Linked DNA regions of Xenopus tropicalis. The protein of the gene in region 1 purifies or fractionates together with the protein of each later gene. This does not show direct contact. Links are inferred from orthologs where the notes say so. Each region holds a gene or a part of one and is shown on either strand. Other genes may lie near its edges.

Evidence for each region. The genes of interacting proteins can lie anywhere in the genome.
Region 2: the proteins of kif24 (region 1) and ccp110 purify together in Homo sapiens (co-immunoprecipitation; 4 studies listed by BioGRID and IntAct, with this or other methods). This does not show direct contact. The link is inferred for Xenopus tropicalis from reciprocal best matches to the Homo sapiens genes KIF24 and CCP110.

Annotation. Positions count from the first base shown.
Region 1 is NC_030677.2:211,303,334-211,310,687, reverse strand, and holds the start of kif24 (kinesin-like protein KIF24), read left to right. Parts: upstream 1-3,432; 5' UTR 3,433-3,542; exon of another isoform or gene 3,543-3,557; intron 3,558-7,354. UniProt on the Homo sapiens protein: Microtubule-dependent motor protein that acts as a negative regulator of ciliogenesis by mediating recruitment of CCP110 to mother centriole in cycling cells, leading to restrict nucleation of cilia at centrioles.
Region 2 is NC_030685.2:31,808,768-31,815,998, forward strand, and holds the start of ccp110 (centriolar coiled-coil protein of 110 kDa), read left to right. Parts: upstream 1-2,833; 5' UTR 2,834-3,063; intron 3,064-4,861; 5' UTR 4,862-4,928; intron 4,929-7,231. Other genes in the region: gde1 (glycerophosphodiester phosphodiesterase 1), read right to left, coding at 2,352-2,624.

The DNA of each region.
Region 1 (7,354 bases):
ATTTTTACAAAATCTGTAGAATGGTATTGGATGAGGGGCAACAGTAGAGAAGCTAAATTCAAGTAACTCTCCAAAAAATGTAGAGGGGGTGACAGCTCAACAGGGCTCTGTGCTTCACAATGGAGAGAGAGAGCGGCCGCTGTTCCCATGATGCCCAGCGCATTGGGCAAAAAATAAAAAATGGCAGATTGAGGCCTTTACAGTACACTGTGGGGAGTATTGTGTGAATGGCCCCTATGGGAGACAGGGGAACAGCACAGACACTGCTCCCAATAGCAATCTTAGTAACAGAGAGATATAAACCAATTGAACAGCTGCCTGCAAGTTACTATCAGGCCTATTTATGAACACAGCGCCCCACTTTTCACAAATGTTTCCCCTTACCTCTAGCCCTCCCTTACCTCTAGCACTCCCCCCTTACCTCTAGCCCTCCCTTACCTCTAGCCCTCCCCCCTTACCTCTAGCCCTCCCTTACCTCTAGCCCTCCCCCCTTACCTCTAGCCCCTCCCTTACCTCTAGCCCTCCCCCCTTACCTCTAGCCCTCCCTTACCTCTAGCCCCTCCTTACCTCTAGCCCCTCCCCTTACCTCTAGCACTCCCCCCTTACCTCTAGCCCCCTTACCTCTAGCCTCTAGCCCCCCTTTACCTCTAGCACTCCCCCTTACCACTAGCCCTCCCTTACCTCTAGCCCCCCTTACCTCTAGCCCCCCCTTACCTCTAGCCCCCCCTTACCTCTAGCCCCTCCCTTACCTCTAGCCCTCCCTTACCTCTAGCCCCCCCCTTACCTCTAGCCCCCCCCTTACCTCTAGCCCCCCCCCTTACCTCTAGCACTCCCCCCTTACTTCTAGCACTCCCCCCCTTACTTCTAGCACTCGCCCCCTTACTTCTAGCCTCCCCCTTACCTCTAGCCCTCCCTTACCTCTAGCCCCCCCTTACCTCTAGCCCCTCCTTACCTCTAGCCCCTCCCTTACCTCTAGCCCTCCCTTACCTCTAGCACTCCCCCCTTACCTCTAGCACTCCCCCTTACCTCTAGCCCCCCTTACCTCTAGCCCCCCTTTACCTCTAGCACTCACCCCTTACCACTAGCCCTCCCTTACCTCTAGCCCCCCCTTACCTCTAGCCCCCCTTACCTCTAGCCCTCCCTTACCTCTAGCCCCTCCCTTACCTCTAGCCCCCCCCTTACCTCTAGCCCCCCCCTTACCTCTAGCCCCCCCCTTACCTCTAGCACTCCCCCCTTACTTCTAGCACTCCCCCCTTACTTCTAGCACTCCCCCCTTACCTCTAGCCCTCCCTTACCTCTAGCCCTCCCTTACCTCTAGCCCCTCCCTTACCTCTAGCCCCTCCCTTACTCTAGCCCCTCCCTTACCTCTAGCCCCTCCCTTACCTCTAGCACTCCCCCTTACCTCTAGCACTCCCCCCTTACCTCTAGCCCCCCTTACCTCTAGCACTCCCCCCTTACTTCTAGCACTCCCCCCTTACCTCTAGCCCTCCTTACCTCTAGCCCTCCCTTACCTCTAGCACTCCCCCCTTACCTCTAGCCCTCCCTTACCTCTAGCCCCTCCCTTACCTCTAGCCCCCCCCTTACCTCTAGCCCCTCCCTTACCTCTAGCCCTCCCTTACCTCTAGCCCCTCCCTTACCTCTAGCACTCCCCCCTTACCTCTAGCCCCCCTTACCTCTAGCACTCCCCCCTTACTTCTAGCACTCCCCCCTTACCTCTAGTGCCCCCCTTACCTCTAGCCCTCCCTTACCTCTAGACCCCCCCTTACCTCTAGCACTCCCCCCTTACCTCTAGCACTCCCCCCTTACCTCTAGCACTCCCCCCTTACCTCTAGCCCCCCCCTTACCTCTAGCACTCCCCCCTTACCTCTAGCGCCCCCCCCCCTTACCTCTAGCCCTCCCCCCTTACCTCTAGCCCTCCCCCCTACCTCTAGCCCTCCCCCTTACCTCTAGCCCCTCCCTTACCTCTAGCACTCCCCCCTTACCTCTAGCCCCCCTTTACCTCTAGCCCCCCCTTACCTCTAGTGCCCCCTTACCTCTAGTGCCCCCTTACCTCTAGCCCCCCTTTACCTCTAGCACTCACCCCTTACCACTAGCCCTCCCTTACCTCTAGCCCCCCCTTACCTCTTAGCCCCCCCTTACCTCTAGCCCTCCCCCCTTACCTCTAGCCCCCCTTACCTCTAGTGCCCCTTACCTCTAGCCCCCCTTTACCTCTAGCACTCACCCCTTACCACTAGCCCTCCCTTACCTCTAGCCCCCCTTACCTCTAGTTGCCCCCTTACCTCTAGCCCCCCTTTACCTCTAGCACTCACCCCTTACCACTAGCCCTCCCTTACCTCTAGCCCCCCCTTACCTCTAGCCCCCCCTTACCTCTAGCCCTCCCCCTTACCTCTAGCCCTCCCCCTTACCTCTAGCCCTCCCCCTTACCTCTAGCCCTCCCCTTACCTCTAGCCCTCCCCCTTACCTCTAGCCCCCCCTTACCTCTAGCCCTCCCCCTTACCTCTAGCCCTCCTTACCTCTAGCCCCCCCCTTACCTCTAGCCCTCCCCCTTACCTCTAGCCCTCCCCCTTACCTCTAGCCCCCCTTACCTCTAGCCCTCCCACCTTACCTCTAGCCCCCCCTTACCTCTAGTGCCCCCTTACCTCTAGTGCCCCCTTACCTCTAGCCCCCCTTTACCTCTAGCACTCACCCCTTACCACTAGCCCTCCCTTACCTCTAGCCCCCCCTTACCTCTAGCCCTCCCTTACCTCTAGCCCTCCCTTACCTCTAGCCCTCCCTTACCTCTAGCCCCCCCCTTACCTCTAGCCCTCCCCCTTACCTCTAGCCCCCCCTTACCTCTAGCCCCCCCCCTTACCTCTAGCCCTTACCTCTAGCCCCCCTTACCTCTAGCCCTCCCCCCCTTACCTGTAGCCCCCCCTTACCTCTAGCACTCCCTTACCTCTAGCCCTCCCTTACCTCTAGCACTCCCCCTTACCTCTAGCCCCCCCCCTTACCTCTAGCCCCCCCTTACCTCTAGCCCTCCCCCCCTTACCTCTAGCCCCCCCTTACCTCTAGCCCTCCCCCCCCTTACCTCTAGCCCCCCCTTACCTCTAGCCCCCCCTTACCTCTAGCCCTCCCCCCCTTACCTCTAGCCCCCCCTTACCTCTAGCCTCCCCCCTTACCTCTAGCCCCCCCTTACCTCTAGCCCCCCTTACCTCTAGCCCTCCCCCCCTTACCTCTAGCCCCCCCTTACCTCTAGCCCCCCCCCTTACCTCTAGCACTCCCTTACCTCTAGCCCCCCTTTCCCACAAGAGCGCTCAGATTCCCCTCATTCCTACTCATACCATTCCGTGGGACAGGCAGCGCCGCTTCTGGTCACGTGATAGGGAGACGAGCGCCTTTTCCCCGCCTACTCCTTAGTCACATGTCTGTAACCGTCACTTCCTGCGAGCTATGGTTTAAACGGCTTGAGCGGCGTTGCTATGGTGACCGCCCCAGCTGTTGCGTGACTGGGAGAGAAGAGAGTAGCGAATGCGGAGAGAGAGGCGGCGGGACCGCGGCATGTGGTGAGCGGGAACCGGGTTAGTAGGGCAGGGGGGATGGGGCAGGGCTACCGGGGCTACTGGGGCTACCGGGGCAGGGTGAGAGGAAACCGGGGTACAGTGTGTGGGTGCGGGCTCAGAGGGGGAAGGAAAGAAGGAATCCGTGAGGGGCAGGAAGCAACGTTCCCTCTAATTTTTTATAGGCTGTGTGCGCAAAAAATATCATCCGTGCGCATTTTAAAGCAAGATTAAATTTTTGTGCGCTACAGAATGTTTGTTGGAGTTCAGTTATGGGCATTTTTGCGCAGGTCTTTCAGTTTGTCTAAATCAAGTTACAAAAATTAAATTTTTGTGCGCGCTATTTTAATTTGTGTGCGCGGGTTCGGAAAGTCGTGTGCGCGCGCACACGCGCACAGCTTAGAGGGAACAGTGGCAGGAAGGCAGCAGGTTCCAGTGATTGGTGCCCTGACTGAGAGGCAGATTGTGTTTGGCTAAGGGGGCATCTTCCTGGGCACTGGGGGGAGTATGGCAGGGGGGGGGGGGGAGTTGGCAGGGGGGGGGGAGTATGGCAGGGGGGGGGAGTATGGCAGGGGGGGGGGAGTATGGCAGGGGGGGAGTATGGGCGGGGGGGGGGGGGGCTGGGAGCGCTTGGTTTCCCAAAGTGCAACTTTCTCATACAAACTGCTGTGTGTGTGTGTGTGTGTGTATATATATCTTTTTTTTTTTTTTTTTTTGTATTATTTTATTAAGCCCTGGTAGTTAAAACTCATAGCAGAGTATATTTCCCTGGGTAGGAACTCCTTAGCTGCGGGGCTCTCCCCAGTATGTAGTGGCTATGGGGAGTAAAGCCGGCCGTACCCTCACATATTAGCCTTCCGACATCCCAGTATGTAGTGGCTATGGGGAGTAAAGCCGGCCGTACACACTCACATATTAGCCTTCCGACATCCCCAGTATGTAGTGGCTATGGGGAGTAAAGCCGGCCGACCCTACATATTAGCCTTCCGACATCCCCAGTATGTAGTGGCTATGGGGAGTAAAGCCGCCGTACACACTCACATATTAGCTCTTCCGACATCCCCAGTATGTAGTGGCTATGGGGGAGTAAAGCCGGCCTGTACACACTCACAAATTAGCCTTGCCGACATCCCCAGTATGTAGTGGCTATGGGGAGCCGGCCGTTACCCTCACATATTAGCCTTCCGACATCCCCAGTATGTAGTGGGCTATGGGGAGTAAAGCCGGCCGTACACACTCACATATTAGCCTTCCGACATCCCCAGTATGTAGTGGCTATGGGGAGTAAAGCCGGCCGTACCCTCACATATTAGCCTTCCGACATCCCCAGTATGTAGTGGCTATGGGGAGTAAAGCCGGCCGTACCCTCACATATTAGCCTTCCGACATCCCAGTAGTAGTGCTATGGGGAGTAAAGCCGCCGTACCCTCACATATTAGCCTCCGACATCCCCCAGTATGTAGTGGCTATGGGGAGTAAAGCCGGCCGTACACTCACATATTAGCCTTCCGACATCCCCAGTATGTAGTGGCTATGGGGAGTAAAGCCGGCGCGTACACACTCACATATTAAGCCTTCCGACATCCCAGTATGTAGTGGCTATGGGGAGTAAAGCCGGCCGTACCCTCACATATTAGCCTTCCGACATCCCCAGTATGTAGTGGCTATGGGGAGTAAAGCCGGCCGTACACACTCACATATTAGCCTTCCGACATCCCCAGTATGTAGTGGCTATGGGGAGTAAAGCCGGCCGTACACACTCACATATTAGCCTTCCGACATCCCCAGTATGTAGTGGCTATGGGGAGTAAAGCCGGCCGTACACACTCACATATTAGCCTTCCGACATCCCCAGTATGTAGTGGCTATGGGGAGTAAAGCCGGCCGTACACACTCACATATTAGCCTTCCGACATCCCCAGTATGTAGTGGCTATGGGGAGTAAAGCCGGCCGTACACACTCACATATTAGCCTTCCGACATCCCCAGTATGTAGTGGCTATGGGGAGTAAAGCCGGCCGTACCCTCACATATTAGCCTTCCGACATCCCCAGTATGTAGTGGCTATGGGGAGTAAAGCCGGCCGTACCCTCACATATTAGCCTTCCGACATCCCCAGTATGTAGTGGCCTATGGGGGAGTAAAGCCGGCCGTACCCTCACATATTAGCCTTCCGACATCCCCAGTATGTAGTGGCTATGGGGAGTAAAGCCGGCCCGTACCCTCACATATTAAGCCTTCCGACATCCCCAGTATGTAGTGGCTATGGGGAGTAAAGCCGGCCGTACCCTCACTATTAGCCTCCGACATCCCAGTATTAGTGGCTATGGGGTAAAGCCGGCCGTACCTCACTATTAGCCTTCCGACCCCAGTATGTAGTGGCTATGGGGAGTTAAAGCCGGCCGTACACACTCACATATTAGCCTTCCGACATCCCCAGTATGTAGTGGCTATGGGGAGTAAAGCCGGCCGTACACACTCACATATTAGCCTTCCGACATCCCCAGTATGTAGTGGCTATGGGAGTAAAGCCGGCCGTACACACTCACATATTAGCCTTCCGACATCCCCAGTATGTAGTGGCTATGGGGAGTAAAGCCGGCCGTACACACTCACATATTAGCCTTCCGACATCCCCAGTATGTAGTGGCTATGGGGAGTAAAGCCGGCCGTACACTCACATATTAGCCTTCCGACATCCCCAGTATGTAGTGGCTATGGGGAGTAAAGCCGGCCGTACACACTCACATATTAGCCTTCCGACATCCCCAGTATGTAGTGGCTATGGGGAGTAAAGCCGGCCACTGGCTACAGGGTAAAGTCCCTGGTCCCTCGAGTGTGACTTTTGCTGGTTCTCTGGTCAGTGGCACCCCAAGTCCAATGGCTCCTAACCTGATAATGGTGCTCTAACTGCACTGCAGCATTTCATAGTGCTACCCACAATGCATAGGTACTGGTTCAAATCTCCTGCTCTGTGGCTTTTGTGATTAAGGGCAGATTGGCTGCACGGGCACAAGTGTAACTGGAGCAGATGGAGTCGGCCTTTCAGCAAGTGGCAGGTTTAGGGTTTCATGTTGGTAGAAGGATCCTAAGGCAAAGGATTATCATGGGGAAGGGGTCAGTGTATAGGAGCAGGGATCCAGTATCAAGCCATACAGCGAGCCTTCAGTTTCAAAAGAGAATATATAATCACTTATTTACACCTGTTTCTCTGTTACTAACCCCATTGCACTTACACTTTGGCAATAGCAGCGGGAATCCTGCCCCGTATGGGACCAGACTCAATGTTTATGTGGCAGATCCGCTCACTTTTGTACATTCTGTTTGTGGGGAGAAGGACCGATCTTTACAAAACAGTGTTACAGCAACGGCATCCATTAGGGATTCCCCTGGCGCAGAGTTATTATGGTATGTAGATCCTATACATCAAACAAGGAATGAAAGATAAAGAGAGAGAAGAGGGGGAAAGATAGATAAAACTGAAAGGTTTGAATTGGTCTTCATTTTTTATTTGCAGTTTTTGAATTAATTAGATTTTTGTTCAGCAGCGCTTCAGTGAGGAATTACAGCAGCTATTTGGTTGCTATGGTCCAATTTAACCTAGCAACCAGGCAGTGGTTTGAAAGATAGACTGGAATATGAATAGGAAAGGGGCTGAATAGAAAGTTAAACAATAAAAATAACAATAGAATTGTAGCCTCACAGAGCAATAGTTTATTGACTGCCGGGGGCAGTGACCCCGTTTGGAAAGCTAAAGAAGAGGCTGAAGAGGAAAACAAATAATTAAAAAAACCATAAAGAATGAAAAGAATAGGCTA
Region 2 (7,231 bases), on another chromosome or scaffold:
ACTAGCTACACAAATAGTTGGTGAGGAGGGAGGGGGAAGTGAGTGCTGAATAGAAAGTGAGAGGCTGAGAAGGCAAAAGATGAGGGATTTTTAAATGCCTTAATAATGTGTATGGATATATTGATACAAAAAATAAATTTGAGTTTCATGTTTACTTTGAAAAGGACTTTTAATATACTTTTTTTTATGTCTGGGTGACAGGTCCCCTTTAAAGTTGTCCGGCAGCCAGAGGGAAGGGGTTGCTTCTCTCCATCACCAGTTCTACTTTCTAAGCCCCCACTCATTACATTTTAGGTCTTGGCAGTTCTCGGATTTGACACTTGCTGAATTAACTTACAAGCTTATTCTCAGCCACAACCACAGCAGCTCTGAAAGACACACCAACTGTGCCAGTAGCACAATAATTCAGTATCAAACTGCTAATATCACACATATCTATAACTGGTTTCATTCAGTTATCTGTGGGACCACCACCCATGGTTAGTTAATAGTGAGGGTACCATGCTATAGAATACAAGAAAAAAAACACAGCACAGATCAAACAAAAGTTGACACTATGGGTGCACAGCCTTTCTCATGATTGATTGTGACCCACAGCAACTTACTGGCACGGCTCTAGAGCAAAATGCAGGTATTTTGCACATTCTAATTCAATTGCAGAGTGATTTACTCATTTAAATGAATAATTCAGTTAAACATACAATATACAAGAAGTTCCGTCAAATTTCAGAGGTGCTGCTATAAAGTGCCATAGACAACAACTTCCAACTCCAAAGTGGGGGGAGAACATGTTCAGAAGGAAAACAGGAAACTATTCTGATGTTTCTGTTCTCAGAAATACATAGGAAAGAACATCTGAGGTTTGTAATCTCCTGCCCGAGTATAGCAACATCAGAACATATCACTTTTTCCTTCTGAACATATTGTAATTAACTGTACAGTTAGAATAACTGACCAACAGGTGGCGATGTTACAAAATTCTTATTACTTTGTGCAATTTCACATTCATTTATTTTTAAGGGTTACATTTCCTTTAAGATATGCTGCATATTCAATATTTAAATGTTGACTTACTGCTGTCATAGATTTATATGAAAGGCATTCCCTTCTTTAAATAGACATGAAGGTATAACCCACTGTGTGTTCTAAAAATCCGTCAATGCATATTTACAATGATACGTATGGGAGACAGCTGCAAAATTGTATGAGACATACAACGCCCACACCCACAAGAGAGTATGCTAGTTACTATATGCTTGAAATGAGCCAACTCAGCCTCACTCATAGCTACTGCAAATGCTGCAAATATTTTAGGCAGCAAAAGAATAAGTTGTGCACAAACCAATCACAGCGCAAACATTTACTGGTTACATATAGTGAAACCATGCAACTGGCTGGATACTAAACTAAATATTATTAAAGTTTATTGCTCATAATGTAACAAAATATGCCTTGTGTGATGCTGTATATACAGAAACTAAAGCTCTAAGGGCTCTGGCACACGGGGAGATTAGTCGCCCGCGACAAATCTCCCGTGTCTCGGGCGACTAATCTCCCCCAAATGCCATCCCACCAGCGAAAATGTAAATCGCCGGTGGGATGGCACACGCGGCGGCGCGATTTCAGTGAGATGGTGCAAGTTTCCTCTCGAGGCAACTTGCGCGATCTCACTGAAATCGTGCCGCCGCGTGTGCCATCCCACCGGCGACTTACACTTTAGCCGGAGGGATGGCAGGTGATGGCAACTCTGGGAGATTAGTCGACTGAGACACGGGAGATTTGTCACGGGCGACTAATCTCCCCGTGTGCCAGAGCCCTAAGGGTGAAGACACATGGAGCTACTAGTAGCAGCTACTTGTCCTGGCTACAAAAATAGACAATGCTGATCATTTATTGATAATTGTCTCTACCCGTGTTTTAGCAGAGGCAATTCTCAGTATTGTCTTTGGCAGGGTGTTTTCTGGCGTTTAGTAGCTGTGAAAAAGTAGCTGCTACTAAGTAGCTAAGTGTGTCTTCACCCTAAATGAGATTTCATTTCAGCTTTGCTGTCGGATGAATAAAAGGTGAAGGTAAACCCAAGATATAATGAAATTCTAAGCAGCTTTTACAATGGTTTTAAAGTTATTTGCAAATATTAATGCAGCTAGTAACCCTGGCAGACGAGTGTTCATGGCTTCCCTGTGTATGATTAGAAGTCAGAACCGGCAATGCATATAATATCAGGGGACAAACGATGTACAGCTTTCAATGACAATGGCTGGAAATCATTATTGAATCTATAGTGGAAAGCGCTAAGAATGACATTTATTATTAGGTTCGCATGTGGGGCTATAGAGAAAAGAGATACTGACGGTTCTGATGGCGGCCAGGGTGTTCTCAGGAGCATCGTGCCCCCCGCCTCTATGGGCTACTGTAGCCGCCCTCCCTTTAGGTTTCAGCACCTGCAGGGCCCGGGATTGGGGCACCGGCTCGAACCTACAGAAAACCAGCAGCAGATAGATACCGCCCGTAACCAGGGACGTGAGAAGCGGGTTCCGAGTCAGCAGCAGCAGCACAAGGAAAATGCTACTGAATGAAGCCAAGAGGCCATCACCCCACAGCATGGCGGGGGCAGATAAAAGCATACGGAGCCCAGAGACACGAAACCGGTCGCTCCAAACATACACCGGGTGTATTGACGTTGCAAGAACTACAACTCCCAGCGTCCCTCTGCCTGTGCCGCCTGCTTGGGGACGATGGAAGATGTAGTTCCGAATACCCAGCGCCGAATCCCACCAATAGCCACGCCCAGCAACCCGGAACTGTCTTGTTAGAATTCCGCCCTTAAACGCAAGTCCCTCCCACAAGTAAAAATGGGGCGTGTATCTGCCGGCCGTTGCCAGGCGCTGTAGTTGCCGCCGGAGACCTCAAAATATGGCGGGGTGGAGGCGGGTTCTGAACTGTCAGCAGCCCGGAGCCATCCCTGCATTGTTCTGCCACTGTTAACCAGCAGAAAGTGTGGAGTTGTTGGGCAGGGCGTCTGGGAGACACAATGTTTCTGTGAATGGCTTTTCATCTGTGTGGGTAAGAAATGGCTTTTTATCTTGTGTAACTGGCCATGTAGTTTATACATGGGTATCAAGTGAGGATGCTGGGACTTGCTACCATAATAATAAGGACGAATTTGGCGTGCCTTGTACTTTTCCCAGTACAGCGGGGGAATTTACTTTGAAAGTACAGAATTTAGATCTGCTGTGGGGCTGTAACACGTCCCTTTGGGTAAAGGAGCTCACCCTTTTATCATAGCTGTAATGTTCTTTCATGGCAATTGACTGGCTGTTGGGTATCTATCTATCTATCTATATCTATCATCTATCTATATATGTGTGTGTATTGGCATAGTGATGTCATCAGTTGTAATCAGTGCTTAGTAATGTAACTCATATGTATTATATGTATAATAAACAAAAAAATTCCCCCCACCTCAGATTTCCATGACTGTGCCTCTCGGTGGTCATGGGACTTCTTGGTCACTAATATTCATACATGTTACAATTGTGGGTGCATATGTATATGTAGGTTGACCTAAACCTGCGGGTCGGGCAGGCTTAGGTTGAGATTTGAGTGACCATAGTGGTTCTGGGATGGGTGCATGTCAGACTGGGGAAGAACATTCCTTCTTCCAAGGATTATCTTTCTTGGGACTAGAGGCGCACACAGAAGTAGTGTAAGGGCTGTGGCACATGGGGGCAACTAATCCCCCCGAAATGCCATCCCACCGGCTATAATGTTAATCGCCGGTTAAGGGTTGAGTATGGGCCCTAATTTGGCAACATTTCACATGTTAAGGTCGGGTGCGGGTTTAGTTTTTCCTGACCTGCACATCACTAATAAACAATAGCAATGGTGGTTTTCAGTCAAAGCATGTGCAAACTGCAGCATCATCTGTTGTTCCACTACATCTCTCAGTATGCCACAGTCATAGGCATAGGAAACCTTTAGTGTAACCACTACAACTGAACTAAAGCACCAGCATTCTATTCTAGATAATTTGATGAAGAGGGTAATATATTCCATAACAGTAGGTATGATGCTTCTACTGCCTAAACAAAACATCATATTTTGATGAAACCTGCAGTTAATATTTGCATTCCATATAAAGGCACGAGGCCGAAGGCAAAGTTGGGGGTACTTGTATTAAATAATACTTGTGTATTATTTATTATAATACACAATTTTCAGTAAGTCGTGTAACAGAAATCACTAAGCGATTATAACTGATGACATCACTAAGCACTGTTTGTAAGGATATAATTTACAGGACATGCATGCATATTATAAATATATGTGTGTATAAATAAATAAATAATAATATAGGGGAGTACTGCTACACCTATTGATTCAGGGGAATCTGTTGCTACTAGTACCTCCTGGCCAGGTGGTACAAGCAGACTTGTGCGTAATTGCTTTTGATTTGCAATGAAATGCAAGTACAGGTGCGTTAATTTTGATGAATTAGAAGCAAAGAGCTCATTACCCCTTTGCGACCGCAGTGAAATTCTGGGAAAAACAATATGGTGTGTGCACACTTGCAGAAATAAATGAGCCATATTATCTATTCTTCTTTTCTTTGATTTTGATCTTTCAAAATCTTTTTGTTTCTGTTTGTAAAAAAAATTAGCAATATTCCAAAACCTCTGTGTGCCCACCTTTACCCTTTATCCATTTATATTTTACTCCCTTAAATCCTTTTTTTTAATGGAAATATTGATGATTTATTGTTTCAAGCCTCATGATAAACCTTGTTTCTGGTTTGATGTGGAACTTTATCATTTAAATGTACCCTTTTGTAGTAACCCTGTTATTTTTCTTTCATTTGCAGAATAAGAAGAATATCTTTTTCTCCTGTACAAGCACATCATAACTTTCCATCTTCCAAAGAAACCCAGGTGTGTATGCCTAATGATTTGCTTATTCTACATTATTTCCTGTAGCTGCATCTTTTTATAACTATCTGTTCTGGGCTACTGGTCCATGTGCATTTTTCTGTTTAGTCTGGACCCAACTGAACCTGCATTATTTTAATTTTTTTGTATTTCTGCTGATATATTCTATAGTGCTTTACAGAAATCATTCATCAGTCCCATTATGTCATGCCCCAGTTACGCTAACCGTGTAAGGACCCTTTCATGTAAATACTAGGGATGCACCAATTCCAGGATTCTGTTTAGGATTTGGCTGAATCCCAGGACTGTTTCCAGGATTCAGCTGAACCAAATCCAACCCCCAAAAATCATATAATGGCTCTGGGCAACACAATGCAATTTTTTATTTATATTAAATGTGAATATTCAACTTACAGTTCAGAATTGGTGTAGTATTCAGTAATCTTTTTTGAAAGATTGAGTATTCAGCCAAAATAAATAAAAATTATGGATTCAGTGAATCTCTATTACATACAGTGAAGTCATTTTAATTAAGAACCTGCTGCCTATTTATGTTTTGGCATGCAGAAGGTAACTGGAGTTCCCAGAGTAAACTCTCACAAATAGGGAACATTCAATCCATGCAGATAGTACAAGTCTGGGGCCTATTATCAAGAATGCTCGGGACGTGGGGTTTTTCAAACAAGGGGTCTTTCCGTAATTTAGACATTAATTAAACCTAATAGGATTGTTTTGCTTCCAATAAAGATTAATTATATGTTAGCTGGGATCAAATACAATGTTCTGCTGTAATATTACGAGAGAAAGAAAATCATTTTAAAAAAAAGTTGATTATTTGATTATAATTGAGTCTGTGGGAGATGGCCTTCTGGATAACGCATTCCATGCCTGTACTCAGGTTGGAATTGAATCTACTGTAATAAGATTTATTTTGAACCCAAACGTAACCACCCCACAGGTAATCAGTGTAACATAGGTATGTATTTTGACATTTTCTGTTTTATAAATATATCCATTTGAGAGAAGAACTAATACTCATCCACCCTATAATTATAATTAATAGCACTCTAGCTGGGTTATTGACTTCCATTTTTCCAATCGGCTCCTGGTTAATGGTTGCTGTCAGGGATCCTAAAACAGAATATGACATATAACAGATTTATAAAAAATGTTAGAGTTTACCATTTGATGAGTACCCTTCTAAAAATCCCATAGGTATGAATAGAGAGTGGGAATTTTACTGTGGTGAAGTCTAATTTTAAACAACTTATGAAAAATCTGCCCCTTAATGTACAGAGCTGAAAGCTCCAAAGCTGAAGGTCAACCATTATTAAAATAAACAGATTTTGAATGTGTTCTTTAGTTCTTAATATAGTTCTAAAATTCACATGTCATAAAGTCACAGTCAGCATATTTAACTATTATTTCTTGATCCCAGAGATATTCATAGATAAAAACTGGCTTTTCTGGTCAGGTAAGCAACCATAGCACTCCTGGTGCTCATCAACAATATCATATGCAGGATTTGTGCCAGAAAATGTTCTGCTGTCATACCTATAACTCTTACACCATCACTTCTTTAACACTTAGGGCTGGTTTAATAACATAGTTCATAAATCTCGCTGTTGCCAGCCTGTTAATTGGCTTATCATAAGCTGACCGAATTGTTTTCATGTCTCAGAAAGGAAAGTTAGTACATCAGCTAATGCTCACAATAAATCTCTTCAACATCTGGACTGCTTTACATTGAATTCAAGCATCCATTTCTCCAAGGCTGTGTATTAGTCCCTATTGTAAAACATTAGGTTACTAGAAATCATGAAAGAGTTCCTTTACCGTATAAAGCCACAAGGCCTGACCCTAACCACATAGGTCATAGAATGCTGATGTGACTTATAATATCCTCATATTATCACCTCAGGGTACGCATAATTGTTTTTAATGTGCAAGTCTTACTGAGTCATGTGACACAAATGTAATCACTAAGCTTGCATTATAATTAATGATATCACTAAGTGTATAATTTACAAGGTATTCATTGATGTTCTGTATTATAAATATATATAAAATTGTAACATTGTGAATCAGAAATCCTTGCCTGTCAAATGCAGATGTAAGCCAGATATATAATGTATTTACAATAATAGTACAGGTATAGGACCTGTTATCCAGAATGCTCGGGACCAAGGGTATTCTGGATAAGGGGTCTTTGCGTAATGTGGATCTCCATGCCTTAAGTCTACTAAAACAATAATTTAACCCAAATAGACTGTTTTGCATCCAATAATGTTTATTTATATCTTAGT